Linked DNA regions of Rhinolophus ferrumequinum. The protein of the gene in region 2 purifies or fractionates together with the protein of the main gene of each other region. This does not show direct contact. Links are inferred from orthologs where the notes say so. Each region holds a gene or a part of one and is shown on either strand. Other genes may lie near its edges. The genes, in order: CSNK2B, ZC3H4 and WDR82.

Region 1 (9,938 bases), on a different chromosome or scaffold from region 2:
ACACCATCACCCAAATCCACAGGGCACAAATCTGTGCTGGTTTTCAACTTGGGGAGGGTGGACTAGGCCATGAGGACCCCTGGCGTCCAGCACACCACTACCCTCCCTTCCCCAACCCCAAGCACCAGACCAGCTCATGGCCTTTTCTTCCACTTTATTTCATATTCCCACCACAATAATGGCTCCTTTAATTTAAACTAAAAACCATGGAGGGTTCCTGAAAGGGTGGCAGCAAAGGAATGGAGGTGTCAAAGACTGAGGACACTCAGGGACAGGTGGGAAGGGGATCAGCGAATCGTCTTGACTGGGCTCTTGAAGTTGCTGGCGGCTTGGAGCTGCAGCTGGTAGGCCATCGGATGGATCTTGAAACCGTAGAGCCTGGACCAGGGCAGAGGTCAAGAGGCAGCAGAGTGAGCCCCACGCGACCCTGCCAGCAGCCTGCATCCCTGCTCCCCACCCCAGCTCGTCCACGAGCCTGCTCAGTGCTGAAGGGTAGTGGTTCCCAAACTCCTCCCCTCCAGAATATTTGGGAATGTACCTTAAACATCCATTAAAACTCAAGTCTAGGCTATGTATGTATGTGCACAGATGTCTGTATCAGTACTTGTTTCAATGTAAAACTGAACTTTCCTTCCCCACGCCAGGGGAAAAACAATGCTCTAGGGAAGATAAGACACACCTGAAATGTGGCTCTGAGATGTCCTGGCCAAGGACGAACACCAAGACGGTGTAAGAACAGCCACTGTTTCAATGGTGCTTCAAGTGCCAAACGTTATCCTAAGCACTTCACATATTTAAAAATACCCTGCCAGGTAGGTACTATTATCACCCCCATTTTACAGATCTGGAGACTGAGGCGTAGGCAATCAAAGAACTTCCCCAGGGCAGGGTCCCTCAGCAGGGAGAGCCCTGGCTTTGGGAGAAGCAGAGCTCAAGAAAGGACCTTGCCCCCTCTTCCCTTCTCTATGGGGGGGTCTGGGCCTGTCCTGTGACCCCTGGTGATTCTGCCGTGCTCCCCACCTGGGCACAAACTGGTTGGCGGGCCGCTTGGGCCGGTATTCCGGGTGTACCATGAAGAGCATGTGAGGGAAACCAGTGCCAAAGTAGGCGCCGTCCGTGTGGTGGTGCCTCGATGACTTGGGTGTGTACACGTCCATGCACTTGGGGCAGTAGAGCTTCACCATGGCCTCACCTGGGATGTCTGACAGGCCTGGGAGATAGCCAGGCTCAGCACGCCAGGCTCTCCCACCTTGCCCAACCTCCTTTCCAGAGGACCTGCCATCTGCTGCCCTCCTTCCCCTTCTCCAACACTTACCGATGGGGAGCATTGGCTGGTTCTCACAGTACACACGGGGACAGTAGCCAAAGTCTCCCTGCTGGTATTTTTCCAACTGAGGTGAATAAAATGGAAAAGACTGGTGGGTAGGTGTGAAGAGAAGAGGCAATCCCCTCCTCTGCCCAATCCATATCACTCTGTGCCCCGTTCCTATCTCCTTCTGTCCAGAGGCCCCTTCTCTGGCCCAGACCGGCCATGTGACTCTCTGCTTCCTTTCCTCCACTTAGGCAGGCTGCAGACTATCAGAGCCATTTGCTGTTTGTTCCCCGAGAAAGAGACAGTCTCTAACAATTCTCTGTCCAAGGTTACGTTCCCCTCCCTGAAAACACCCCCTTCAGAACAACCCCCAATCAGGATTAAATTCCAGGCCCAGGTTCTGAGGTCATTGTCCTCTTCTCAGCTAGACTCCTTGACAAGGTTGAAACATGTGGTTTCTTGCTGCAGGAACCCCTGTTTCCCTTACTGCCTCAGGAATCAAGTAGGAGTAGAGAGGCCTCACCATCTGGGCGATGCCACGGTTGGTAAGGATATAGCGGGCGTGGATCAATCCATAAAGCATCTCGGCTGCCTGTTCAATCAGGTCACTCTGGTTGGGGTTGTCTTCCAGCTCTTCATCTGAAACAGGGCCCCGGCTGAATGCAACCACTCGTCTTACAGCTTTCTTGGGTGCCCTGCCCATCCCCGGGGGCTGCTGGCTACTCAGTTTTCAGTACACCCACCTTTGAGTCTCTCCCCACCTATCATGTGGGCACCTGACCCAGAAACCCGGGCCTCTGACGCTTCCACTAACCCAAGGTAGCTCTACCTTCTCTCCACACCTTCCCAGCCTCTGCTCTCTTCTCTCCTTCCCAATTCCCTCCTCAACACACAAATGCAAAGACATCAATGCAGAAGATGTAACTATAGCTGGAAAGTGCAAGGTAGGATAAAGAAGCGGAAAATGAGAACCCTGGGGAAATGCATTATGGAATATAGCTGAGTTATAGCATCAGAACGCGGGGACAAGTGGTATCAGTCACAAAACTAGGCAAGAATCAGGAGGGGCAATCAAAACGAAGTAGGGGATTTTGGGTTAAGGGAATCAGACAACAAAAAGGAAGTTTAGAAATTCAAGAAGCAGATGAATAGCGATATGAAGAGAAAAAAAGCACATACACACACAAAACAACCCTGAGGTGACTCACCAGGCTCCAGGTCCAAGATCATATCTAGAGCTTGTCGATAGTGAGGCACCTGCTCATTGAGCCCAGTGAGATTGAACTTGTCCTGGATGTAGTCTTCATCCACCTGTCAGGATGCAGAGGTCAAGAGGGAACCCATGGCACAGTCCTTGGCATTGACCTGAGCAAGTCGTTCTAACTGGTGCCTTATCCTCAAGACAGCTGCTTCTGTTCCCAACTCAGCAGAAGCACTTGAGTCTCTCTCCCCAGTTTACCTACACTGCCGTCCATAGAAGCTTTGGCTTTTCTTTTCTAAGGATAAGCATGTACAGCACTCCCTTCCTTAGAGAGGCTTCCCCTTCAAGATACCTGTCCCTACTCCTGCTCCTCCCTCTAGGAACCAGTTTTGTTCTCTCCTTAGGGGCAGATGGCGGAGAAAGGTAGGGGTTGAAAAGCATGGGTTCTGAAGGCAGTTACATCCCTTACGTTGAAACACATTATGTTAAATGCTACGAAACATTTTACAACGCGGCGTTTTAATTCTCCTACCAGTCCCCAGAAATAGATATTACCAATACCCCTCTAGTAATAAAACAGACAGACTAACTTGTGCAACGTTATACTGCTGGCGGGTGGCAGGGGTGGGAGTTGGGCCCCAGTCTTACTATTTCACCACAAATTAGTGGTGGGTTACTGAGGGCACTCTTCCTTGACAGGAAAACGTTTCTATGCAAGCATGCGAGACGAGTGCGCAGAAGCTGAATACGTGGGAGAATCTCTGGCCAGACTACATGTGGAGAAAGGTAGGGAGATTGAAGAGAACTCACTTCACAGAAGAATTCATTGCCACGGAGCCCACAGAACCAGGAAATCCAGGACACCTCCTCTGAGCTGCTCATCTTCACGTCAGCTGGAGAAAGAAGAGTGTAAGTGTAACCCACGTTCTCCCTCCCTGCCTCTGGTATCCTCCCTCCTCCCACACTTTGCTCTCCAACCACGGAAGAATTTGGGGCCACCTTTCCTTAAGGCGTCCCAGACTCTGGGACCTCGCCCCACATCCTCTTATTCACAGCTCAACCCCTTTTTTCTGAGATGAGAAATTCTTTGGGGTCCCGCCACTTGCGAGAAACCGACGGGTCTTGACCCACCAGTCCTACCCACGTCCCTGACGCTCCCAAAGGCCAGTCCCCTCTCTCCTTCACGTCAACTCTGGCCGTGCTCCCTCAGGTCTCTACATGTTCCGGGGCATTTCCCAAGCGTGCCGAAGTTTATTCCTTCCAAGCAAGAGATGGGCCCCTCTTTTCCTCATGGCCTGGGAGGGGGGGAGGTGGCCCTCAGCTCCCTTTCGCAGGAGTCCCCACATCCCTCCTCCGCCCCTCAGGCCACCTCTTCCTCCCTGGGTGCCGGACCAGGTCTCTTCCTTCTCCACCAAACACATCGAAGCGCGGAGACCCCCATGTGCCGTGCCCAGGGACAGGGCACTCAGCGCGGCGACGACCTCAGACTCACCGGCTGGACGGGGGCCAGGACCGGGGTGGGGGAGGGGAGTTGCTACTTCCAAGGAACGGCGACGACCGCTACAGCGCAGGCCGCGGACCGGATCGCGGCAGGCGAAGTGGGCAGGGGGGAGTGGAAATTGGAGAGGGTGGGGAAGAGGGCAACGCGCAAGCGCCAGGGGTCGGGCGCCGCGATGGACGCCGGGAGATAGAGTCTCTGATGGTGAGAAACTGGCGAAACGAGGGAAAGGCGAACTACGAATTCCAGGGTGACCTGCGCACGACCCTGGTGTCGCGAGGCCCCTGGGGAAGATGCTAGGGGCGGGGCGCAGCGAAGCTCCACCGGAAGCGGAAGCCCTGTACCGTGTCCTGGGCCAGAGAGCTTGAAAAATATAGTCGGGTGATCGCGGAACCCGGGGGTCGCGAGGGGGCGGGGTAAGGAACGAAGGTGGCTGGGTGATTTCCTGCCGCTCCCCTCACACAGCGAACGAGACTTCGGCCCCGGCGCGCCCCTGCTGGCCAGGGGACTGACTTCATCCCCAGGCAGCCCGTCGCCCGAACCAGACACGCCACTGGAGACCCCCGACGGGCCCCATGTTTCACCTGGGGGTCCGGCCGCCTGAGGCAGGAGGTGAGGCCGGCCTCCGTGCTGAGGGACCTGCGTAGGATGTGCTGGGCTGAGCGGAGCGGTGTGAGAGTCGGGTCGGCCCAGCGCTAACCTGAGGTGGTGCTAGCCATTATTCTGCTGCTCGTCCCCTTGCAGTTCTCCATTTCCTCTTAGGGCTTGAATGAGGCCTTCTGCTGCGGGCGCTAAGTGTGACCTTCGAACCCTGATTGGAGTAATGGTGAGGGGCAGCGTGACGTTATTTCACAGCTCTGGGCATTCCATAGATTTCCCTCCGCCTCCTCAGGGCCTTTTTTAACCCAGAGAGTGGTTTCCCAGCTCCAGAAAATGAGCTCAGAGCTGGGACCAAGTTGAGGGAGGCGAAGGGCATTGTGGGGCGTTATATAAAAGCAGGACCCCAACTGACAGATCCTCGGTCCTCGTGCTATGCTGGCACGTGGTACTTTGCGCGAATACTATTGGAAAGGTTGCAAGGCGGGAAACCTGGTGCTTTCTGTAAGCCTGTGCCCTCAAGTAAAAGTTTGGTTTTTTTCCACTCAGGCGTCTTCTAGTCGTCTGGCTACTTGATCTTGTGAACTGCTTTGCATAGAGGTGCCATTTTGCAGTACGAAAGCTACAAGACAACGCAGGTTGCAGCCTTCCCCCAAATGTGCTTCCTGCTTCCGGAGAAGTGTCAAGTCTGTTTTTGTTTGAGAAGATAATACCCAAAATAGGATCAAGGAAAGTCTAAAGGGCCAGACTGATTGTTTTTCTTAATGGTATGCCTTACAGAGCGGTAGTTTCAAAGAGATTACTTATTCTTTATTGTTGATGAGGTTGGGGGAGGGGGCTGAACGCAGGACCTCTGCGTAACTGTCCCATGGAGTCTTTGTTAAGCTTTACTAAAGGGCATGGTCTGTTATTGTAGGGTTCCGTGTTTCCACGTGATTTATCATCCTTAGGCCCTGTAGGGTCCTAGGTTGTGAGGTAACTTTTGGGGTGGGAGGGTTTTTGTTTGTTTGTTTTAATCTAAAGCTACTTTCCCTCATCCCAGCAGGTCTCTGGAGGTGGCTGTGGTCACTGCAGGGCCACCACGGGATTGGCTTGCATGTTTCATCTTCCCCTTGCCTAGTCTGATTTTCTCAGCTCTCCCACAGCCATGCCCAGGCCCTCCCTCATCACCTTCACCCCGGCCACCGACCCCAGCGACCTCTGGAAAGATGGGCAGCAGCAGGCACAGCCTGAAGAGCTGGAGCCTACCCTGGATGGGGCTGCAGCCCGGGCTTTCTATGAGGCTTTGATTGGGGAAGAGAGCAGTGCCCCTGAACCCCAGAGATCACAGCCTGAGCCTGCCAGTGAGAGAAAGCGGAAGAAGAGAAGAATGAGGAGGGAGGCTGCAGCAGGAGCAGCAGGAGGGCATGGACAAAGGAGATCTCTTGAAGCTGAGGACAGAATGACTCAGTGGATACTGAGGGCAGCCCAGGAGGGGAACCTGGCAGAACTAAGAAGGCTCTTGGATCCCCATGAGGAAGGGGGAGCTGGGGGGAATATCAATGCTCGGGATGCCTTCTGGTGGACCCCCCTGATGTGTGCTGCCCGAGCAGGCCAGGGAGCGGCTGTGCGCTATCTCTTAGAGCGAGGGGCTGCCTGGGTTGGGGTCTGCGAGCTGGGTGGCAGGGATGCTGCTCAGCTGGCCGAAGAAGCGGGCTTCCCTGAAGTGGCCCGCACCGTCAGAGAGAGCCACGGAGAGATGAGGAGTCCAGAGAACCGGTGAGGGGACGCCTGTGCCCATGTCCTTCTTTCAGTGTGTTCTGCCCTTCCTAGCCACTCCACACCAGAGGCCTCAGCACAGAGCTGAAGGGTTCTCCCCCATCCCCGTATAGGTTGACAGGGAAGGCAGTGTGCTAGAGTGGTTATGAACATGAGTTCTCTGGGATTAAATGCTAACTCTACTTGGGCAAGCAACCTAACGTCTATGTGCCTCAGTTTCCTCATCTGAGAAATGGGGAAAAGAGCACTTTTCTCAGGGTTGTTAGGATTAAATGCATTAATACATGTAAAGTGTTAGAACACTGCTTGCCATATAGTAAGCTTTATGGAAACATTAGCTATAGCCATTATTCCTTTTTTGCCCAAGAGCCTTATGAGGCCTAGTTACCATCTCTTCTCCCAACTATTCCCCTCTGGTCCTTCATTGCTAAGCGGGGCAGAAGGCAATTTTTTCCTTAGCAGAAAAACTGGAAGGACCCTGTCCAACCCTGCCCTCACCCTTTCTCTTCGTCCTCTGCAGGTCCCAGTCCTCCCCGCAGTACTGTGACACCTGTGATGCCCACTTCCAAGACTCTAACCATCACACATCTACTGCTCACCTGCTGTCACTGTCCCGGGATCGCCAGACCCCCAACCTGTCCCTTGGGATCCCCACATCCAGCCCAGGCTTCAAGCTACTGCTGAGGGGGGGTTGGGAGCCTGGAATGGGGCTGGGACCCCAGGGCAAGGGCCGTGTTATCCCCATCCCCACAGTCCTCAAGAGGGACCAGGAAGGATTAGGATACAGACCAGCACCTCAACCTCGAGTTACACACTTTCGGGCTCAGGATACCCGAGCAGTGGCTGGGAGGGAGAGAGTCCCTCAGGTGACTACACTGAGCCGGAGGGAGGAGAGAAGGCAGGAGGAGAAGGACAGAGCCTGGGAGCGGGATCTGAGGACATACATGAACCTTGAGTTCTGACCTTGGCAAGGTCTGACCCTGGTCTGCTGCTGAGGTCTGAACTTGAGCCTCTGACCTGTCCAGGTCCCAGACCCTCAGGTTTTGGTCAGTAGGCCCTATCTTTGGGAGAGGGGAGCTGAGTGAGAGTTGAGAAATAAATCAACCTTCTTACTCTTTTGTGTTTTATTAACTTTTCTGAAAGCTGTTGCGGGAAGCCAAACAAGTCTGGGGGCCACATGCAAGCCCCACCTGAGGCAATAGGGGCAGCCCCTCCAGGGGCATGATAGGGTCACCTTCTTGCCAATCTGGTTCACTGTCAGGTCCTAGCCCCCTCTAGAGCGGCCCACCTATCTTTCAACCCTGAGCCAGGAACTGCCCAGCTCTATGCGAGTCTCACCTCCAGGAAGGGTCTTCTGACTACTCCAGCTAATTCAATCACAAGTTCATATACCGCGCTAAGAATAGGAATAAGACAGTCCTAACCTCCAAGTTGCTCCCGGCTGGTGGAGGAGACAGCCATGTGATCAAACAGTGCGCAGTGACAAGGGGAGGCTCGGAGGTGATGAGACGGGGTAGGTAGTAGTGTAGGAAGAGGCCAGTGTGATGGGGGGGCCTGAGATTACCCAGCATGTACTCCGTTAGCCCAACTGGGATCAGAGCTCGGGCCTCCCAAAAATGAAGTCAACGTTCTTGTATTTAACTACCTGAAAACTCAGGAGGGCGGGAAGCACATCCTTTTCATCCACACTAGCTTTTCCCATTCTCCCCTCTCCCTCATCTCTTGTGCTGCTAATACCAGGTGCCAGACAAATGAAGGGCTCACCTGTCAAACCCAGGAAGTAAAATCTGCACGGAGGGGCAGGGAACAGCTACTCAATTCCCCCAAACCCCTCTCATAGTTTACTTTTCCGGAAAAGCCATTTATGAAGTCACGGGCAGGAAGACAAGTGGTGGGGGGTGCGGGGAAGAACCCAAGAACTGAAGGGGCGGGGCGAGTTCAGGGGCGCACTGGCGGTCCAGGGGGCCTCTGGGCGATGAATATAGAGGACCGGGTCTCTAGAGGTCCTGGCGGTCTCTAGAGAGACGGGGTGCGCTCCCCGGCGCGTACTGGCGGCGCACGGGCGCGAGGGGCGGGCAGTCCGCAGGCTCCGCCCCACGAGTTGCGGGCTCCGCCCCGCCTGGCCCTCCAGTCCGGGTGCAGCTGCTTCCGGGCTCTGCGGCTCGGGGCGACTCGGCGAGGCCCAGGCCCTGACGCTGGGCCCGGGAGGGGCGGCAGCACACAGAGCCCGGACGCCTGGGTCCCCCAGGCGGGCCCGCGCTTGGCCTCGCAACTGGAGTCTCGAAGGACGTCTCCGGCCTGACCTTGCGGAGGCCGCGCGTCTCGGCTGCGTACTCGGGTGCGGGTCCGGCCGCTTTGTAGGATTCATAGCCTTCTAACTCACAGGACGAACGCTGCTGGCTAGAGTTCGCTGGACATCTCCCCACAACCCCCAACAGGAGACATCTTATTCCTGAGGTCCCCTAGGGAAGCAGTTCAGGACTCCCCTGATCCGGAGCACCTCGGACCTGGGGCGACCTTTCTTCTTGGATGCAGCACCGCCTCCCCAGTTTTTGGGGCATCTTGGGGCGTGGCCTTGGTGAGTGAAACTTGGGGTGTTGCTTGCTGGGAATGAAACCCGGAAACCCGGGGAGGACACTGTCGGGTGACCCAGGCCTTGTCAGATCTTGAGACTCTTGGAATCTTGTGTGTGGGGAGCGGTGGTAGTGAGTGAATTTGGATGTGCCTCCTTTCTTTACCTCAAAACTGAAAAAGGAAACAAGCTGCCTGCCCCACTTGAGGCTGTATGACCATCCAGGGAAGTGGGGAGCCACTTCTGAATTCGAAGTAGGACTCGCCAAGCAGACCTGTTCTTCTGAGCCCGAACAGACTCTGGCACCTGAGGAGACCCTCAGCCCTCAAACCTGAGCAGTGCCGGGAAGCGGCCCCAAAATTTGGGGGCTCATTACACACTCCAACCATGTTCCTGCGACGGCTTGGTGGCTGGCTACCTCGCCCTTGGGGCCGCCGGAAACCCAGGCCTGACCTGCCCACCCCAGAACCCAGACAGGTGGACAGCTCCTCCGAAAATTCAGGGAGTGACTGGGACAGTGCCCCAGAAACCATGGGAGATGTGGGGCCTCCCAAGACCAAGGACTCAGGGGCCCAGAGGAGCTCTGGGGCTGCTCCAGTACCAAGCAGTGAGACCCAAGTTGAGCAACTAGGGAGCAAAAGAATGGATTCCCTCAAGGGGGACAAGACTGGCTCTAGCCCTCAAGAGTCTGGGAGACTGGAGGCTGCAGGGGCCATTCCTAAACTGGCATGGGATCCTGTGGACTCAGGCGGCACCAGGAGCTCTGGACTGTCCCCTGAAGGGGGACTGAGCCCCGCTGGATCTGAAGCCCCAGTGAAGAAGCCCGGCCGGCGTCAGAAGCTGCTCGGCTGGCTGCAGGGGGAACCAGGTGGGGGAGCAGGGGCTCGCTTGCAGTACCTGGGGGGCCCAGAGGAGTGTCTGCAGATCTCCAGCAACCTGACCCTGCATCTGCTGGAGCTGCTGGCCTCAGCCCTGCTGGGGCTGTGTTCCCGGCCGCTGC
Region 2 (10,220 bases):
TGGGGAGTAAGGGCTGAGGGAGGGAGGGGGAGCACATTAACTTGACTGCAAGTATCATAAACCAAATTCAGTAAACTTGTCTCCTACAAATGGACTTGAAATACCCACTTTCTTCAAAGGTGAAGGCTGGAGACAATGCAATGGATTGAAATGACAAGAGGGATACCAAGGGCTTGAAAATATAGGGCCTTTTACGTAAGTTTTTGTCATGTTACAGTAACACACTATTTTTGGGAGAAAACTGTGTACATCAAATTTTACAAATTAAACATTGAAAGGATGTGCAAGTCTAAAAGGGCTCAACAGGGTTAGAATCCTGATTTGAACATATAAACTCACTCTCTCAAGCATCACTTTGGTCTAAAGGTGAGGAGGAAGGCAGGCAGGAAAGGGACAAAAAGAGGGAGATAATTGAATTACTCAATAAAAGAGGCTACTTACCATCCCAACCCATTGTAAGACATACACTTCTGACATAAGAGAACTCCTTAGAGGTCGAATAAAGCGTGTAAGCACCTTTGAGTAATGCACCTGCCCCCAAGAGGGGGCCCGGAAGCCCAACGTGGGCTTAGCGAACAGACCTTTGCTAATCTGTTTATTTCCTTGAACTGGAGTCAGGCTGCGATGGGCTGCGATTCCCAGGACGATACATTTAATTAGAACAAAACAGAACAAAACAAAAAAAAAATTTTTTGTAAAAGCTCACCAAACTGCTGCACTTGTGTCTCTGAATGTGGGTGGCATTTCTTTTAAAAGGCAAAGTATGGTCTGTGAAGGAGAAAGGGAGAAGGGGAGGTGGGAGTGGGGAGAAGGGGCAGTGGCGCCTGGCAGGGAAGCCCTAGCCAAGCCCCTGTCTAGAGGAAGGTCCTCAACGACTCCCCAGCCGGGACTGCGCTCCCGGCAGCCCTAGCCTGTGTCCAGCGCGTTCTTTCCTTCCCCACCCCCACTCCTCCAAGACTCGCTTTCCTGTCGGCAGAAACCCTCCTTCCATTTCCAAATCCACTACCTCCCTCTTCTCCTGCCCCACCAGGAAAGGGTGGGCGAACCCTGCACCCCAACCTTGTGCTGGAGCTGGGGAAACGGGGGCCCCAACCTCGTCCTGAAACGCGCGGAGTTGGCCCCTTTATCATCCTCCAAAGAAGGGCGTGGGGCGAACCCATTTCGCACTTAATAAACGGGAGGGGGGGCACTCCCTTTCACCCCCTGCCAAAGCACGCAAACCTCGTTTTCTCTCCCGGAAGGGATGGCGCCCCATTTCAGCCCCGAAGAGGAGAGAACCCCAGGAGAAAGAGGGGACCAACCTCCTCTCCCCTTCAAGGCAAGGAAACCTCTCCCGCCGCCCCCCCTAAAAAAACGCACCACCTACCTAAGAAAATCGAGAGGACCCCTCCCTTTAAGTAAAGACATGGGGAAGGGTCTTCCCCCCCCAAAAGAGGCAGGGGTTTCCATCAAAGGCTAGAGATCCCCCCATCTTTTTTGCCTTCTAGGGAACACCTAGTAAACGCCTCCCGCAAAAAAAAAAAAAAAGGCGCAAGAGAGCCCCCACCCAAAGGACCCCCCAGTAGGAGGATGGAGAAAGGACTGAACAGACCCCCACTTCCTACCTCCTAAGAAAGCTAGGGTACCTCTCCAAATAGGGCAGGGCAGACCTCCCCCAGGAGAAAGGATACTGCCGGGGTTTGGGAGACCCCCAACTCCAAACCCCTAAGAGCGGGGCTGTTGCTCGAGATCCCCCTAAAAAGGGTCCGGGGCCCCTCCCCCATCCCTTTCCCCGAAGCCAGGCGACGGGCAGGCGGGCCCGTGGCTGCCAGCTCCGGGCGCAGGGCAGCCAGGACCCCCGTGGGCCTCCGCAGCCCCCCCCGGCGCCCCCTTCCCAGGGCGGGCAGGCGGGCGCGGGGGGTCCGGGGGGCGCCTCCTCACCTTCCCCTCAGCATGGCGCCCAAAAAAGACAGAGCGAGAGCGAGGGAGAGCGGGCGAGCGCGGCGAGGGGGGGGGAACGCATGAGGCCAGGAGAGAAAGCAAGCGAGAAAGAGCGAGCGAGAGACACCCACCGACCCCGCCCTTCCTCCTCCTCCTCCTCCTCCCCGGCCCGGCCCAACATGGCGGCCGCCCCCCTTCCTCCTCCTCCTCCTCTTCCTCCCCCCGGGGACGCTGCCCCGGCCGGGCCGGGGGCCTGACCTGTCGTCAGGGAGCGGGAGGCGGTGGTGGAGGAGGTGCGGGGTGGCCGGGCAGGCGTCGGGGGAACACGGAGGAGGCGAAGGCGTTGATGGCGGCGGCGGCGATGGCGGCGGCGGCGACTCTGATGGCGGCGGCGGGGGGGTCCCGGGCGCGGCCTCCATAGTTCCTTTGGGGGGGAGGGGATGTTAATGCACGAAAAAGGACTGCTTGGGCGTGGCGGGAGGGGCACACTTCAGCTCTGATGGCTCCTGATAGGAATGAGTATATATTTTTTTCGGTTTCGGAATCACCTCTGTGCCGACCTCCGCGTAGGCCGCGCGGCCTAGGCCTCGGCGGGCCTCTCGCCGCCTGCTTTCTCCGCAGCCCGCCCCGAGGGTCACTCGCTCACGGGCGCAGGGCCCTCATCGGGGCGAGAGCCCCCCCCACACGCACCCCCGCGGGCCCGGGAGTGGGAGACCCGGGGGACACGGACACTGGTGGCTGGTTGGGTGTAATTAGCGCGGGCCGCGCGCGGTGGAGCAAGCGAGAGGGAAGGGGGAAGAGGAGAGCGAGCGAGGGGGGTTTAAAAAAAAAAAAAAAGGATTTTAGGGAGAGAGAAACGGGCGGCGGAGACCGGCCGACTGTCTGTCTGTCTGCCCGCCCTGGGCGCCCCGGCTGCCCGGTCCCCGCCGCAGTCAGAAATTCACACAAAATGGCGGCGCGGCCCGGACGGGCTGGGAAGCTGAGGCGGGAGGAAGGGCGAGGTGGGAGGGGGAACTCGGAGGCGGAGGCCGCGTCACGTGGAGGAGAGGGGTACTGACCACTCGCCCGAAGGGCGGCGGAAAGACTCGAAGGGAGAAATGAGGCCGGGGAAAGCGGAAAATGCCGAAAGGAGCTGAGCAGGAGACGGGGAGGGGCGGAAAGAGCCGAAGATGGTGCTGGGGGTGAGGCTAGAGGAAAAACGGGAGGTCCCAAGGAGCCGGAAATAGCCGAAGCGGATCGGCACTGGGAAACAAGGCACTGAAGCGGTCCGGAAGGATCCGAAAGTGGCGTCGGTGTAGGTGGCAGGAGGCGGAAACAGCCGAATGAGGCCGCGCGGGGGTAATGGGATTTAGAAGGAAGGAGCCAAAAGGCAGGCTAGGAAGGGAGATTAATTAACGGAGTAAACTATTTTGAGGAATTCGCCCGAGAGCAAGCGGGAGGAACCGAAAATTACTAGCTTGAGGGAAGGCGGAAAGAATCGAAAGTTTTAGGTGGGAGAATGGGAGGGAAGAAATTCGGGCTACGGAGAGAAAAAAATAACCTAAAGCCGGAGGCACGTGTGCTGGAGTTGTAGGCTTCCGGAGAATGGGAGGATGGAGCGGAGTAGAGCCGACCCGGAGATGATGTCATTAGAGATCTCGGTCGGTGACGTCATCACTGGGCGGTGCAGGAAGGGCGGGCCTTGGTAGTGCTTTGGTGAAGTTTTAAGAACCTGGTGTGTAGTAGGTGAAGGCTCTCCAATGCTGAACTTGGAAACGCTGACCGGCTTCAAACAGTAGAAGAACGTAAAATCCTTGACCCTCACAAGTATACTCAGGGGAGCTACTATTCCCATTTAATGGATAGACTGAACCTCGGTACTTAAGTAATTGGCTCAAGGATTAGCCATAAGCAGCACAGCGAAATCTTTAATAAGAACTGGCATTCCTAGCGGTTGTCTATGGACCTCTGGTAAACCTCAATAGGAGGCATGCACCCTGAGTTTTATAAAAAGTCATGACCTCTTGTTCTGAAAATTAGCTTTTGGCTTATTCATAGGTTCTACGAAGACCCAATGACTGGCCACAGAATCCCAGGTGATGGTGTATTATCAGATGACACACCAAGTGATGAAGTGGGCAGGCTCAGCATAACTTCATCATCACTTGGAAATGGTATCTTGGTACTAAAGTCAAACAGGTAGTGGGACATCCAATGTCCCACTTCCCAGCCACTGGTGGCAGACTAATTCCCCAATTTGCTTTCATTGGAATAAGCATTTATTGAGTATTGGTGTTATTTTTTCTGCCCTCATCTGTCCTATTTCTATCAACATTACCATCCCTGGACTTTATTTACTATCTGTTTTCACCGTATAATTTTTTAAAAGTTAAAAACAAGACCATCACACAAAAACATTGTGAGTATGCATCAAAGATGTTATTTAACGCATTAATGAGAGAACAAGCAGAAAAATAAAGCTGGTTCAAGGGAGGGCCTTGAGAGATGGGTATGCATAGACAATGGAAAAATGAATGCTGCAATTAGGTTGGGAAGATTGATACAAAACTGGTCAGTGTCTCTCAGGGTTGTGTTTTCTGCCAGACAAAAATCATTTGAAACTTGAGAATCTTCCATAACTTTACCAAGTCTATATACCCTAATCAACAATTACATAGTAAGTCAGACAAAGTAACTACTAGATGTCAGAAAGTCTTGGTAGACATTATGCTAGTATGGCACTGAAAAAGCATGGAGAAATATTCTTGTCTGCTGGGATTTGCTAGTCTTTTCATTTCCCTCATTACCTAAAAGCAGGTGCTCTCTAGGCTTCTGGAATGGACTCTTGAAGCTTCAGAGATGGCGCCTGCTGAAAACCACACCTGGAAAGGACAATGTTCTCAACCAGTGTTGTTTTGTCCATAGCTAGAATACACGGAGTTCAGAAATCAACGTATGGAAGGACATCTTTCACAATTACACATAATGACCCACTTAGAGTAATTTTCCTTTCTATTCCCATAATCCTGCTCCACTAGCTCTTGGTATGTTAAACACACCTTTTTTGGACAATTTTCTTATGAGCATGTGTCAACATTTTATTAGAGTCATGGCACACGAAAGGAAAAAAGGTCTCTTGTGGGCCAATTAAAAGATTTGCTCTTGGTAGGGACATTTTATTTGACAAGAAAAAAATTCTGAGATGTCCTAAATTAAATTAAGCGGGCTGGAAGTTGGAAGGAAGACATAAGAGAGGTTAATCAGTTAACAACTGCAGGGCAAAAACCAACGAAAGACTGCTTACATTCCTGATTGTACTAATGTACGTTGAAACTTTGAATTAACCTCCTGGTAGCTATTTCTGAGATTATCTAGAGAGAGAATAGTCAAGGCAGCTGGTGTCTGCCAGTTGGAGAATTGCTTGGTATGGGAGTAGAGTGACAGAATAGAGAAGACACACAGGAGTTCCCTGAGAACCACTTTGGAAAATAGACTGGCCGTGTCAAATACAGCTGAATATATGCCTCCACTATGATTCAACAATTGCCCCCAAAAGTATATGTCCCACAGAAATGCAACCCAAAAGTTGTGAACAAGAATGTTCACAGCAGCACTATTTGAAATAGCCCCTAACTGGGAACTACCTAAATGCTCATCAATAGGAGAAAGACAAGTAAATTGTAGGATATGCACCACTTCTAAGAACCCCTGGATCACTGAATTAGAAGACCCAAATGGCAGAGTCCTTTGTACTACGTCTTGTACCAGCTAGAAAACCTCTTCTTGCACGGGGCCCCAGCAGCCTTAGAGCTTTCTTTGCTGATGAGTGAGAGCAAGTCTCCCAACTATGATCCAAGTTGCCTCCAAAATTCCTCCAAGAGAGCCACCAAACATTGTTGTGTTTGTTTTGTTTTGTTTTTTTAGTGTGTTGGGCGGGGGTGGCTTAGGTGCAAGTTTCAGCAACTTGCCCTTTATATTGGAAAGAAAAAAATGCCAACATACCTCTTCCTCTGGATCTCCAAAATGTCTTTGAGCTGGCAGGTCCTTGTACTTTTCTGAGAGGGAAACTTCTGTAATACCCATAAGTCTGACCAATGGTTCCGTGGTGCCTGTTTCTTTGTACTCTTGGAACGTTATTAATCTGGCAAAGGACTTTATTTTTATAGTTCCTAGGATGGCTCTAAGGTGGGTTCTTTGTGCCATGGTAAACAGTCCTTCACAGAGAAGACACTCTTCAAAGTGTGGAAGAAAAACAAGCTGCTGACTCCAACCTCTGGAAACCCCTGGGGAAAAAAGGAGACCGTTGGCCAAAGAGAGGTATTATGGTGTTTTGGATCCTGTTGACTACCAACTCAATAACTATTTCCCCTTTCTTCCTTGCTAATTTAACCCTGTTTTTATTGGGAAGATGGGAAATAATAAAGTCCATGCTCCGAGATGATCTTTGATCGGTCTATCTGGTTCTTAAGAGGTGATGTCGCCCCCTACAGGACACTATTGAAATTATTGAGGGAAATTAATTTTGGTTGTCAACTGATTCTCAAGGAGACAGTATTGCTCCTTGGGGGCATTTTGGAAATTTGAGGGGAGTTTTTTGGGCATTACAATAATGAGTGAGCTGTTACTGGCACTAAAGGACAGGGACCATGGATGATAGAAAGTCCTGCAACATGACATTGGTATTGAATGATCACCTAATGAACGAAGTTAATGTTAGTTCTTAAATAATGGAAAGAACTATTTATAGTAAGTTATATTAAGCTGCAATGCTGAATTTTTCCAGTTCTTTTGGAATTGTGAGCACAGAGAGTCACGGTAGACTCTTGGGAATGTACAAGACGTATATCACTACTTTTGTATAATGAAAATGTTTTGGAATAGATAGAGGTGGCGGTTGCACAACATGGTGAGTGTACTAAATGCCACTGAATTGTTCACTTTGAAATGATTAATTTCATGTTACATGAATTTCACCTCAATGAAAAATGTTTAAAAACATATATACCCCCCAACTTGAGAATATTTTCCCTGTAAGTTTTGTACAAGTGTAAGGAGGAAGAAAGAAAGGGGACACTTTAGATGTTTAATGAGTCTAGAAGTGCAGGAGAAAATAATTTATAGAGCAGTTAGCTTTATTTTCAGGGCTCTTTTTCACAAAGTGATCATTTTACAAGAGTTACTGCATCCTCCCAGGTAATGGCTTAGTCACTCCCTAACCAATTACAAATGACTACGTGCCAAGGATCTTCAGGGTCACTTTCAAGATCAGTCTGTTAACTAATAAATCATTTAACACCATGGATCTATTTTAACTCTTCAAAATAGTTTGACTCCTCTTATTTTTCTTTTTATAATTCCTGTACATTTCATTTTAATAATACAAAGCAACTCAGCAAAAGTGTTTATTTCCAAAGTCTTATCTACAAGATACTTGATATGGCCCTCTATTGCCTGGTCATTCCATGATTTCTAAACATCTTTTCCCCACAGAGAGGTTATTTGATCCTGTTATTGGCCTTTTCCTCTGAAATCAGAAAGTATCACAGCATAGTGCAACAGCTTTGGATTCAGAACTTTGAAATGGATTCAGAACTTTAAAATGAGGGTTTAAAAAAACTTTTTATTGTGGAATATTTAAACATATACAAAAATAGAGGAAGGAGTAAAATGAAAAAAACATCACCCAACTTCAGTGATTATAAACTCATAGCCAGGCTCAGTTCCTTACTCCCACCCACTGACCACCCCCCAATTCTGCTAGATTGAATCCAAATCCTAGAGTTATCCCATTTAGCTAGCTAGCTCCCCACATATACACTCATACCTTTATTAGGTTAAATAGTGTTTCCCTCCCTGCAAATTCATGGCCTTCCTAGAACCTCAGAATGTGACCTTACATAGAAATAGGACCATTGACGATATAACTAATTAAATTAGATGAAGTCACACTGAAGTAGGGTGGACCCTTAATCCAATATGGCATCATAAGAAGGATCCATCCTAATACTTTCATCTTTATTTGACCTTCCAAGTAAGGTCACATTCATAGGTAGCAGGGATTAGGACTTGAACATATTTTTTGGGAGGACACAATTCTTCTACCCATAACACCTTTTATAGATGAAAAATCCATCAATTTATAATTAAATATTTTAGATTTATTATTGGTATTATAATTTTATTAAAACCTATTAGTTTTATCACTTGATTCCCTTAAGTTCCTACTCTAACCAGTGTCTACAGACTGACTTAGAAAGTGTGATTGCAAGTTGTACAGAGCCATAAGAAATATTCAGAGCTTAGTTGAATGTCTTAAATAGCCCTAAGAGTTAAATGGTCCGAACAGGAAAAGACTAGAATGAGCAGCACACAGATCTTTGTTCTATGGTTCTCCCCCGACTGCATTTTAGAATCATCTGGGGAGCATTTTGTAAAAATCCGAATGTCTCAGCTCCACCCAGACCAATTAATCAGAGTCTCTGGAGGAGGGACCAGGGCACCATATTTGCTGAAAAGCTCTCTAGGTAATTCTAATCTTCAGGTGGGATTGAGAACCAGTGACTTGGTTAATGGTGAGCAGGCACCTGGGTGCAGCTAATTAATTATGTAATCCTTAAACCCAGGAGCCTGATCTACTACATAACTGCTCTCCACCCCTTTTAAGTTACAAAGTTTCACTTTGGGCAGCTGTTCTAATTAGATGTTGTTGAAAAACTAACTGCCCCATGGGTAAATAAATACCTAGGAGAACTGAATGCAGGGTCTCAAAGAGACACTGCTATACCCATCTTCATAGCAGCATTATTCATCATCGTCAAAAAGCCCCAAGTGAGGGGGTCCCAATAAGACCCAAGTGTCTTATTGATAGATGAGTGGATAAACAAAATGAGGTATATACTTACAATGGAATATATGCAGCCTTAAAGAGGAAGGCAATTCTGACACATGCTACACGTAGATGACACTTGTGGACATTATGCTAAGTGAATGAAATAAGCCAGTCACAAAAAGACAAATATTGTATGATTTCACTTATGTAAAATATCTAGAATAGGCAATCTCATAGAAACAGAAGTAAAATGGTGATTGCCAGGGGCTGGATGGAGAGAGAAAAGGGAAGGTGTTTTCTTTTTCGTTCTTTTTTTTCTTCAGTAATGGGTAAGATAGTACATTTTATGTTATGCGTATTTTACCACAATTTAAAAAATGCTCTGAAATTTAGTGGCTTGAAGCAGCAATCATTTCCCTTTTTTCCTATAATCTTTTAAAATTTTCATTAAATTTATTGGGGGAACATTGGTTAATAACATTACATACATTTTGGATGTATAACTTTATAACATGACATCTCTATACTGTATTGTGTACTTACTACCTGAAGAGTAGTCTCCTTCTATCACCATGTATTTGACCCCCTCATTTCGTTATCTTTCACAGTACCTGTGGGTCAGGAAGGCTTGGCTGTCTGATTCTGGCCTGGGATTTCTGTGGTTGCATACCACGTGTCTAGAAATGGAATAGTGGAAGGCTTGAAAGCTGGGGGCTGAGTTGGCATCTCTTTCTCTTTGTGTAATTTCAGGGCTTCTCCATGTGGTTTCTGCTCATGGGTTGGGCTTCCTCTCAACCTGCAGTCTCAGGGTAATGGGACTGCTTATCTGATTTATCAGGGCTCAAACTCAAGTGTTCCCATGCACAGGGTGAAAGTGACCTCCCCTTTCCTGATTTAGCTTGGCAGTAAAGCAATGTCCCTTCTGCCACATTCTATTGGTCAGTCACCAAAGCCAGAATAGTTTCAAGGGAAATGAACGTCCCTCAATGGGAGCAGTGTCAAAGGGATGTTGCAAAAAGGGCATGTAGGGGTGGCCAGATGGCTCAGTTGGTTAGAGAAGAGCTGTGCTCTTAACAACAAAGTTGCCAGTTGGATCCCCACAGGGGCCACTGTGAGATGCGCCCTCACAACTAGATTGAAACAATTACTTAACTTGGAGCTAATAGGTCCTGGAAAAACATACTTAAACAAATAAAAGTTTGTGGGGTTTTTTTGTTTTTTTTAAAGAGCATGTAGGTTGAGAGACACTGTTGTAGCCATCTTTGCAAAATGCAATCAGCCATAGGGAAGGTCAAAAGAATTAAGTAAATCCCCTTGTTGCCATAATTATTTCCTTAGTTGGCATCATTTTACCCTGGGAATATTTGGAGTTAAATATAGAAATGTTCATGTGACTCAAACCTCTGGAATTAATGTTTTGGTTTAAGGAATTTGTGCATATTTGGCTTTTTATATGGTGGAAATATTTAAGAAAATCTGGCCTACTGGGGTT
Region 3 (10,368 bases), on a different chromosome or scaffold from region 2:
ACAAATTGTAGCCAGAAGCTCTGCTCTTTGTCAGCAGGCAAATTGCAACCCAGACTTAGCCAGGATCTTGCCCTCTCCCCTCAGAGGACAACTTTTCTTTTTAAAAAAAATTTTTATAAGAGCTTATTTGAGTCAAACTGACGACATATGCCAGGGAGTGAGATCTCAAATGCTCCAGAGAATAAGTTTTGCAGCTTTTTTTTATACATTTGAAATTAAGGAGGGAATGCAAGGAAGATTACATGGAGTTGGGGGAAAAAGCAAGGCAGGGATTGGATTACAGGACAGTTAACAAGATTATGTGCTCTCTTGAGGGTGGTTATAGCTTATTTTAAAGATGTGTTAACCTAAATGCACAAAAACAATGGACAGAGCTTGCTTAAGGCAAAGAGAATACTTTAACTAAAAAGTTATATGCCTGGGGCGTGACTACCTCCCACGACCTGACCAGTTAGGAATTTATGATCAGATCACCCTGTGAGGTTACTTTCCATAGAACCCCTTATTTTTCATCCATTTTGATCATAAATCAATCTGAAGGACGCATTGATGACCAACCTTTTGGTCGGATAGTGTGGTCTCACAGTGCTAGGAAGTCTCATTCCTAGGAGTTCTCTGTATTGAGTTTGTCTTGACCACTGGGGATGGGGCAATACTGTAACCATAGGATCTGAGCTGAATTTTCCCCAAACAGGAAGGGCAGGTAAATGGAAGGCAGTCAGGTCTTATGGCCTTTATTATGAAGCACTGTATCATTTCTATCCAGTGAACTATCATGATCTGAGGTTTGCCTCTGTCTCATTTTTCTGTTTTTGGCATCTACTATAATAACATTTATATAAGCCATAAAAAGAATATTAACAAGTTACCTTATACATGTTTAGTAATCATAAACATTGTACTATATAGAAAAACCCAAAGAATAAGTCTAACTATTATTATGACTAATATCATTAGCAGACAAGTAAAGACAATCAAACAAAATGGATTCTGAGTTTAGGATCAATCCATAGGTATAAGCTATCCCATGTCTTCTGGATAGCTTTCTATCTCTGATGTCATCAACTTCTCACCCTAGAGGAAGGAGTTTTTGATGTTTGTAGACAGGGGTAGATGTCCATTCATAGTTATAGGGTCTCCAGTGAGGTTGGAAAGTGTCTTTTATTTGGTGTCCTTTCCAATAAACAATATCTAAAGACATGTCTCCTGTGAGTTCGCTGTGAAGGAAGTGGTTACCAACTTGACATTTTCTTGAGTGACTCTGTCAGACCTTGGTAATAGTGTAAGATGTCTCCTTTCAATTATGTCAGCTCATAATTCCTTCATCTAAATCCAGCTTCAGTCCACTGTGATGCATGAAGAAATGTAAAAACTGAAAAATGTAGAGCCAAGGTACAGGGAAGAACCAAGTGGCCATCTCAGGTTTCCCAAAGCCCTGATTAATCATTTAATTTACAGGCTTTGTTTACCCATACACTATACTCTAGAAGTTTACCTACATATATTGAGATTTTTAACCCTTAAAAACTTAATGTCTAATAAAAACTAAGAAGTAATCAATTAGCATTCTTTAGCTTGGACATTTTATAATCTCTAGAAATATTTTTCACAGACATAAAGGTCAATTATTAACATGGACATGTTTTTGTAAAACCCAGGCAAAATAGAGACATGTCTGTTTTTCTTAAACCAATAAACTTAAGCTAGCTTTTATTCACTAATAATTAATGTTAGATCATGTGAACTTGAAAATCATATGAGTTAGTTTCTATATTTCTGAGAATTTTAGATACCCAATTCTTATAAGTGCTTGCCTTTAAATTAATTTAAACAATACCATCTGGAGGTAGAAAATTATCTCTCATTTATAACATACATATATAGACATATACAAACAGACACAAACAGAGACTAGTTGGATACAATTTTTGTTTTGGAGGTATTTACAATTTACAATTTACAATGACCTTCCCCCTTTTAAAAGACAGCCATTTTGAATACTTCAAAGAATTGGGTTGACACCAAAACGACATCATGGGTTAACCCATTTTTCTAAATTCTCTTTTTGAAGCTTTGAGAGACCAATTAAATTCTGCTTAATTTTGTAGCTGGCTTTTTCTAATTGTGTTCACAAAAGATTAATTTAGAAGTATCAAAAGATCCTCATCTTGGCCATCTTAGTTATAAATAGGAGGCTAACTGTGGTGGGCCGTGTTGGCCTGGGAGGCATGATTTTGCATATTAATGTTGAGATCTGTAGAATCTGAACAAACTTCTAGGGAAAACCAGCCCTTCCATGCACATCTGCAGATAAGCCACATGCCATAGATATCCCTATAGGACTGCTTCACGCCCTAGAGGAAAATTTTCCTTAGACAACCCCATGGAGATTCTTAGTCACCTAAGAATACCTGTGCAAGGGCCAGTGAGAGCTTAGCAGATGCCACCAGAACCCTGATGCTTTCCTAGGCATGAACCCCTCTCCTGGGCCTCTCTCTTGGGATGCACTTGTTCCAGGGTGCCCTTTTCTTCTCCCTGGGGCTCCTCCCAGCTTCTCTGCGATTATCTATAGTACCGTACCGCACTGGATGACTCAGGAACCCCTCTCTACCACTCCAGATTTGGGGATCTGAACAACTATCATCATCCCATTGGCTATTCCGGTTGGGGAAGCAAGTGTCCTTTCTCTCGGAGCTAGACAGTTCAGTCTCTCATTTACCCAGCAAGATTTTGTCACAGACTCTCAGTAAGCAATCTAATTAAAAAGTCGAGATTAAAAGCAGCAACTCACTTTTCTCCTTTCCCTGGGTTATCTCAACCCTTATCCACCTCTAAGAATTTCTAAGAACAGCTCAAATAAAGTAGTGGCCTGCTCCTTAAAGCAAGGAAGCCCACAATTCTGAGAGAAACTCACCCAAGTTCACCAGAAGTGAAGCAGGGAACTGGTGGGCACAATGGGCCCTAGCTAGGGTCCACAGAGTGATTCTGGGTGGGCTTCTTTGGAATCCTGCCATACTGTGCCAAGTAAGTGTTGATGTAAAGAAATGTCCAAATCTGTAGAGAATTTTTATAAGAAAGAGTTTATTTGAGCCAAATTGACAACATATGCCAGGGAGCAAGATCTCAAATGCTTCCAATAACTTGTTTTTATGTGTAGGGATCTTTACCTTTTCTTTACCCAGAGGATGGGACACAGCCTTAGTTCTTTCTGGAGGGACCCCACCTGTCCCAGGGTTTTTGTTTTGTTTTTAGCATTGTCCAGATTATATCTGGATCTCTGGATAGCACATCTTCATAATATCAGTGATTAAAATGTTTCACAGTCTTTCCTCTTTATTTTTCTTCCTCTTTAGCCACTGCAATTTAGTGAAACAAAGTAAATAGGCTCCATCTCCATTGTTGGAGGTCCCAGGCCATTAAACTTTTGAGAAGCTGCAGCACAAGTTAGAGATCTATGAACTCTCATGGGTTGCACCGAGTTTAACTCCTTGCACAGAAGGTTAAAGCCAGGGTTCGTGGTACCTATTTTGTGATTAGATATCGCTTTCTTTTGTTAGGGATCAACTTTCCTTCCTTTAAGGCAAATAAATCCCTTCTTAGGAACCATTGAAACAATTTCGTTGACTACAAAGAGGGTAATGAAACTGTTCTATACCTTGAATGTGGTAGTGATTGCACAACTGTATATGACTGTTAGAACTATTGATTAAAAAGGCCAATTTTTACTCTACATAAATTATACCTCGAACATGGAAAAATGTGGTCTATACAATACTAAAAAAGGGGAAAGTGGTTTATGTAGATATATAAATAAGGAGGGAGAACTCAGGAGAATTTAAAACTGTATTTTGTTGAATGAGGAGACAATTCTCCCTCTTAAAAATTTCTTTGTAATTGATGCTGAATTTTGGAGCTGTAAATACATTTGAAAACTTAGATGAGTGTTTATAAAAATGTGTGGAACACTTAAAATTTGTTCACTGTATGCACTTTATGTTATGTATCAATTAAAATTTTAAAAGAAGGCTTGAAGTTCTGCCTGGTGGTCACATCGGTGTACAAGGTGTGATTAAAAAATACAGTGAAGGTTTATTTTTTAAAATATTTTTAAAAGTTCTTTTTCTTTTTATTTATTTTTTGAATGTTTAAATTTAAAAAATTTATTATGGTAAAAGACATTGCCATTACTCCTCCTCAAAATACTCTCCCTTACTTCGAACACACTTATCCCATCATTCTTGCATTTTCTGAAGCAGTTCTGGAAGTCCTCTTTCGTGACTGTCTTTAGTTGCGCTGTCGTGGCTGCCTCGATGGACTGAATTGATTAAAAAATGTTTTCCTTTCATGGTCATCTTGACTTTGGGGAAGAGCCAGAAGTTGTACAGTGCCAGATCCGGTGAATAAGGTGGATGAGGACACACTGCAATGTTTTTGACAGAAATTGCCGTATACCAGAAGCGATGTGTGACATGGAGTGTTGTCATGATGGACAATGAAGTAAAGACACTCAGGAATAAGGACTTCCAGAACTGTTTCAGAAAGTGGCAAGAACGATGGGATCAGTGTATTCGAAGTGAGGGTGGTTATTTTGAGGGGGACTAATGGCAATGTGTCTTTTACTGTAATACATTTTTTTATTTAAATATTCACCATATCTTTTAATTACACCACATATATCCAAATGAAAAAAATTCATCCACTAAAAATTTTTGCTGTCTACTGTATATTATATACCAATAAAAAATACAGAAATTGAAAGTATGTTGACTCTGTCATGATGTGTAGAGCATTATGACTCTGATAGTTGTCAGTCACAAAGTGACAGTCATGCCAGAGCGTCACATGAAAGGTGTACCCAGTGAAGGCCCTAACCAGATAACTCCAGATGCAGGATGGAGTGTGACCACCTGGACCATTTTATCTGACTGCAGATAGCTTTATTGGACTGCAGATGGGTGCACTGCACCCAGTCTTGAGCATAAAAACAGAGGCTCTCTGACAGCTCATCGCTCAGGCCTTAACAGCTGACAGCTTCATCTGCACTCCTCCCAGATAGACCGTTTGAAGTCTTCGCTCCTGACCATCTCACAAGCCCGGCCTGACGCGGAGGCTCTGCACTTCAGCACCGCAGGGACTCTCACTGAGCAGGACTCTTCCTCATCCTTCTTTTGTAAGACTCTGTTCACCTCGCCTAACCTTATTGTTTGCAAACCAGTGTGACCCTCTTTTGTGAAATCACCCTACCTTTACTATTGGAGGCTATCCTTTGGCTAGAGCCTTGGTTAATGCCCGTGGTAAACCGACTAGGTAGGATTAGATCCATGACTAGATCCATTCTAATAAAGCCTGACATTGTGGGGAGACACAAACTGATATGAGACTGCTACTTTGATAGTCACCTCCCGCTCAGGACATGTGGATTTGCGGCGAAAGCCTGCCTGCTTGCCAGCTGATGGGTTCACTGACTGACCCCTGGAGGGGCTTGGCGGATCCCCGCAGGACCTGCTTCCTGGTAAAATGCGGATGGGGCCTCTGCAGAGGACGCGCCCGAGTCTCCAGTGGGGCTGCTAACCGCACAAAGGCCCACGGCTCCCAGGCACCAGCGGTCTTCCCGCCCACGGAGGAGGTCGTGGACATCCCCACCCCCCTCCTCCCCACAGCCAGCGGCCATCCCGCCACTGCACTCCACGCCGCCGTGCTGACGTCATCGCCCCGCCTCCCCGCCTCGCGCCGCCGTTCCCGCTCCGCCCTCTTTCCCGGCTTGCGCCGCGATGCGGCTCCTCGCCCTAGGCTCCTGCTTGTCGCCCCAAGATGGCGGACACAATGAGCGGGCGTCGCTTGGGTTGTCCCTGAGGCGACTGTGAGGAGGATCGGTAGGCAAGGCCTCGCAGTCAGGCAGAAGAACATTGCACGAGCCGTAGGAGGGAGAGGAGGAGGCGGCCTGATTGTCGGCCGCCTTCCAGCTCGTCGCCGGCGCGGCGCCCGCCCCGCCCGGGTGGGCCCTTCGGCAGCCCGCCCGTTCGTTCGCCCGCCCGTTCGCCGCGGGGCCCCGCCCCAGCCCTGCTCCGCCGCTGCTGCTGCCAGCAGCTGCCGCCATGAAGCTGACCGACAGCGTGCTGCGGAGCTTCCGCGTCGCCAAGGTGTTCCGCGAGAACTCGGACAAGATTAACTGCTTCGACTTCAGCCCGAACGGCGAGACGGTCATCTCGAGCAGCGACGACGACTCCATCGTGCTCTATGACTGCCAGGAGGGCAAGTGAGTGCGGCGGTGGCCCAGGGCCCGGGTCTGAGTCCCTCCCTCCCTCTCGTGGTTCGCCCCGCGGCCAGCTCCCCTCCCCGACTCCGGCCCCCCGCCGATTTTGTGCTCGCTCCTGCCAAGGCCGCTTCCACTCTTCCACTCCAGAGATGTCCAGGAGACCTTTTTTTTTTAAAAAAAAAAAAAACAAACAACTAATGATAGCATTAATATTTTGTGTGTCTTTGGTCTCTGAGAGCACTTCTGCATCTTTTGCCCAACTCCACCTTGACCTTGACCTTTAAGCGCCCGACCCGCCCACCCTGGCCCCAGCTGGTAGCTTTTCCACCGCTCGGACTCCAAAAGGTGCGGATCGGCTTTGCCCTCCGCGGAGAACCTCAGAGGCTGCTCTCCTGCTTCATCAAACGGCGTCAGCTTGCTCTCTGTGCCTTCTCCTCGGTGACCTCGATTCAGCCCTGGCACTCCGCCCAACCCCTGCCCCTTTGCTTCCCGCGGTCTTTCTGCCGGAAGGCCGCGTGGGTTGCAGTTCTTAGCTGTCAGGATTTATTTGTTGTGCCTCTTTGGGTCCCGTGTCCTTTCCTTTCTGTTTCAAATCATGCTCTTCCTCCCTCAGACCCATTGCCCACGCTTATTGTGAACTTTGTAGCAACATCTGAAACTTTTCCTTTTTGCCAGACACGACCGAACTTGGCTCGACCTGAATGTGAACCTCCCATTAGAACAAAGAAAGCATCGTATAACAATTTCATGTTTCCTCTTATGTTTAAAGAAAAAAAAACACTTTAATTCCAAGTCTAGTCTGACCGTGAAATTTCTGCGTTGCCCCAAGTGCTGGATACCCACCACACCTGCATCTCTGCAAAATCTTACAAGCACAGTATTTTCCCTTTTCCCCTGGGGACCATGTCAGCTTCACCTCACACTTACTGCCTCCACGTCCTTGCTAAATTGTGAGCTCCTTCGGAGCAGAAGCTGGATTAAGCTAAATTTTATTTCCTCTCAGTCACCTTCCCCGAACAGGTTTGCAGATGTTTGATGTAACTCGGTGGCTACTGGTTTTGTCAGATTTCATTTTGTTGCCTTGATCCACATCTTATTTTTGGAATCTGGGTTTTTCTCTACTTTCTCCAGTTCTTTTGCCTGAAAAACAAAAAACAAAACTGGTGTCTTCTGTAAACTTCTTTTGGGACTTGTCTCTTCGTTTGTAAGTTTGGTTATCCAAAGTAATGCTGTTTTGGTCTGAGCTATAGTGTTCTCCCCAGTTTTTCCCCCACTGGGGCTATGAAAGAGTATTACGTAACTGGCTCTGCATCTGCCTGCAGTATGTGGAAGAATGGCCCATAGTGGTGGTCCTGGGGGGAGAGAGGGTTGTCAGCTGGACCTATGCTGAGTTATTTGAGTTAGTGTTACTCATTTAGTATTTGGATTTCCTTGTCTGGCCACTTGAATCAGCTTGGAAGAGAGAATAAGGTACAAAGCTGGGGGTGCGGGGTCGTTGTGGGGTCCTGGAGCTAGAAGTAACTTGAAGCTGGCTTACTTGAAATGTTTAGTGCTTGTGCACAGATTGGAACCTTTCCCTGAAATCTGAGGATGGAGGTGTATATCCTCATTCAAAGGAAATAAAGGTGGTGATAGCATTTCTTCATAGTTTGTCTCCTAATTTCAACTTGTTGCAAGGGATGACAGTGACTTGAAGTCCTGTCTTGTTAAAAGTAAAATGTTAATTTTATGATATAATGCAGTTTATTCACTTACATAGCATTTTTACATAATTACAAACTTAAGAGTTACAGCAGTGTTTCAAAGAACTCCCATATGATCCAGTAATTGGCTACATTGCCCCCTTTGACTTTTTCTCTATATATGTATTTATATGTATGCATTTTTTTTCTGAACCATTAGAGAGTAGATTGGATGTATCAAGCCCCTTTATCCCTAAACACAGATTCCGGTGACATGGTTTTCCTAAACACATAAGGACATTCTCTTATATAACCAGAGCACAGTTATGCAAATTAGGAAATTTAATATTGATAAAATAGTATAGGGCATGCTTTTAAAATTTTTTTCTTATCAATTGTGGACTTGTTTCATTGTGATCTGTGATGGGAGAGTGGTTTGGTAGGAGACCTGAGTTCTAGTTTGTCCTTGTGACCAGGTACCGTGTTTCCCTGAAAATAAGACCTACCCAGACAATCAGCTCTAATGCGACTTTTGGAGCAAAAATTAATATAAGGCCTGGTATTGTATTATATTAAATTATATTATACCCGGTGTGTTATAGTAAAATAAGACCAGGTCTTATATTAATTTTTGCTCCAAAAGTCGCATTAGAGCTGATTGTCTGGCTAGGTCTTATTTTCCGGGAAACACGGTATGTCACTGGTCAGATCACTTCTCTGGATATTAGATGACCTCTTTTAGCCTTTAGGAGTCCATGATCCTAAATGGTAATAAGAAAACATTTGCCACTAGTGTAGGTCAAACTAACATTGGAAGAAAAGTAATGTTGCCTTGTAAGGCATAATACCTTTATTAGATGGTACTAATGTTAACATTATATTATAGCTAAAACAATGTTCTTTATGCTTGATATTTTCTAATTTACTGTTCATTTAAACTTATAATGGAGTTTATCCATTGAGTGATTTTTTTTCAACTTGAAAGAATATGAATCTGTGGTAGGTGATGTGAATTATTCAAAGGAAGGCTTTAATATTATTTATTTATTCATAATTGATCACCAGAATCATAATAAGTGGAGAGAAGCTTACCAAAATATTTGTGAAAAAATGTTCCTGGGCTTTGTAAAGATCACCTGAAATGGACGTAATACATTAGGATATTGCTTTCAAAGTAGGAAATGATAAGAGGTAAAATATTTCTGTTAAGAACAAATCTCAGGTTAGTGTTATTGATAAATTCGAGACAAATAGGCCACAGAAAAATTTTCCCTTACTCCACACGCTTTAACGTTGGCTCTTTAGGCTCTGTTTTCATAGTTGTAGATAGACTGAAATACTGGGATAAGTAAGCTTTTCTTTCCACCGGTAGAGGCAAAGTCAGCTTATCTTTTGAGAGCAAGAACATGTGCACATGCTCATACTCACTCCCTCCTTCCCTCCCTCACTCACTGGTTAGTTTTACTACACAGTAACCCCAATGCGGAACCTGGGACAGTGGACTAAACAAGGTAGCCTTTGAGCTGATCTTTCTAGCTGATTTTTCAGTATGGTAAGGATGTGGAACATTCAGTGCATTTGGAAGGAGAAGTCTTGTTTGGAAATAAGTTTTATGTAGGGAAACCCTTAGCCTCACTGACATTAACAAAAATTGAAACTGCAAACGATTGACTTCATAAAGCTGCCTGAGGCATCTATCTCATTGTTTAGCATCTAGGTTCCAAGAGGATTTTGCATTGACAGGGTGAACGTCTTTTTCATAAATTGGAATTCTTGGTAAACATTGGTACAGGATTTATGAAATCCTCCTACGCTGAAATGTAGAACATTGTAAGTTTTTGAGTATGGTTTCAGCTTCATCTTCAAGCTTCTATAGAAGAAGACATTTAAGGAGCTTCAATGAATGGATTGACATTCTCTAGATGGGAAATGTGTAATTTTACATTAAAATAAAAAGAAAACTGATGACTATTTTGCTAGGGATAGTTAAGCTTGCCTTTCCAAAGGCTCGGTAAGTGCTTTGGACCTTTAGGACAGGGAGGATGGATAGCTTCTGCAACAGGTTATATATATTAGGAAGTTTTGCATCAGGTTTCAGTTTTGATGAATTATTTCTTCTTGAACAAAGAACCTAATAATTGAGTGGCTTAAGAAAAAGTTCCGGCCTTATTGGTTTGACGTTTTTCCATATCCCCCTTTGTTATGTTATGACTTAATGTTGTTTTCTGTGCCTTTCTTACCAATAGATGTACCTTTTTGCAAAGCTTACTTTTGAACATTGGAATAAAAAGACTGAACAGAGTCCTCAGATTTACTTCCACTTCCTAACCTTGGCATTTGGCATTCAGAGCTGAAAGTTGTTGCACTTGATTGATTCTGTTTGTTCCCTTTTGGAAGAAATTTTGTTTCTTTCCAGTTTTATAGCTTACC

What was found.
Region 1: the proteins of ZC3H4 (region 2) and CSNK2B purify together in Homo sapiens (affinity purification with mass spectrometry; 3 studies listed by BioGRID and IntAct, with this or other methods). This does not show direct contact. The link is inferred for Rhinolophus ferrumequinum from reciprocal best matches to the Homo sapiens genes ZC3H4 and CSNK2B.
Region 3: the proteins of ZC3H4 (region 2) and WDR82 purify together in Homo sapiens (affinity purification with western blotting; 4 studies listed by BioGRID and IntAct, with this or other methods). This does not show direct contact. The link is inferred for Rhinolophus ferrumequinum from reciprocal best matches to the Homo sapiens genes ZC3H4 and WDR82.

The regions. Positions count from the first base shown.
Region 1 is NC_046286.1:2,155,245-2,165,182, reverse strand, and holds CSNK2B (casein kinase II subunit beta), read right to left. Parts: upstream 4,829-9,938; 5' UTR 4,596-4,828; exon of another isoform or gene 4,330-4,595; intron 4,143-4,329; exon of another isoform or gene 4,006-4,142; intron 3,809-4,005; exon of another isoform or gene 3,654-3,808; intron 3,407-3,653; 5' UTR 3,396-3,406; coding exon 3,324-3,395; intron 2,624-3,323; coding exon 2,521-2,623; intron 1,952-2,520; coding exon 1,836-1,951; intron 1,392-1,835; coding exon 1,316-1,391; intron 1,211-1,315; coding exon 1,021-1,210; intron 379-1,020; coding exon 288-378; 3' UTR 140-287; downstream 1-139. Other genes in the region: GPANK1 (G patch domain and ankyrin repeat-containing protein 1), read left to right, coding at 5,756-6,366, 6,887-7,328; C3H6orf47 (uncharacterized protein C6orf47 homolog), read left to right, coding at 9,326-9,938. UniProt on the Homo sapiens protein: Regulatory subunit of casein kinase II/CK2.
Region 2 is NC_046298.1:43,141,977-43,152,196, forward strand, and holds the start of ZC3H4 (zinc finger CCCH domain-containing protein 4), read right to left. Parts: upstream 4,474-10,220; 5' UTR 3,461-4,473; intron 2,916-3,460; exon of another isoform or gene 2,345-2,915; 5' UTR 2,340-2,344; coding exon 2,179-2,339; intron 2,081-2,178; exon of another isoform or gene 1,935-2,080; coding exon of another isoform or gene 1,921-1,934; intron 769-1,920; exon of another isoform or gene 745-768; coding exon of another isoform or gene 707-744; intron 1-706. UniProt on the Homo sapiens protein: RNA-binding protein that suppresses transcription of long non-coding RNAs (lncRNAs). LncRNAs are defined as transcripts more than 200 nucleotides that are not translated into protein.
Region 3 is NC_046300.1:47,898,578-47,908,945, reverse strand, and holds the start of WDR82 (WD repeat-containing protein 82), read left to right. Parts: upstream 1-5,768; 5' UTR 5,769-6,095; coding exon 6,096-6,256; intron 6,257-10,368. UniProt on the Homo sapiens protein: Regulatory component of the SET1/COMPASS complex implicated in the tethering of this complex to transcriptional start sites of active genes.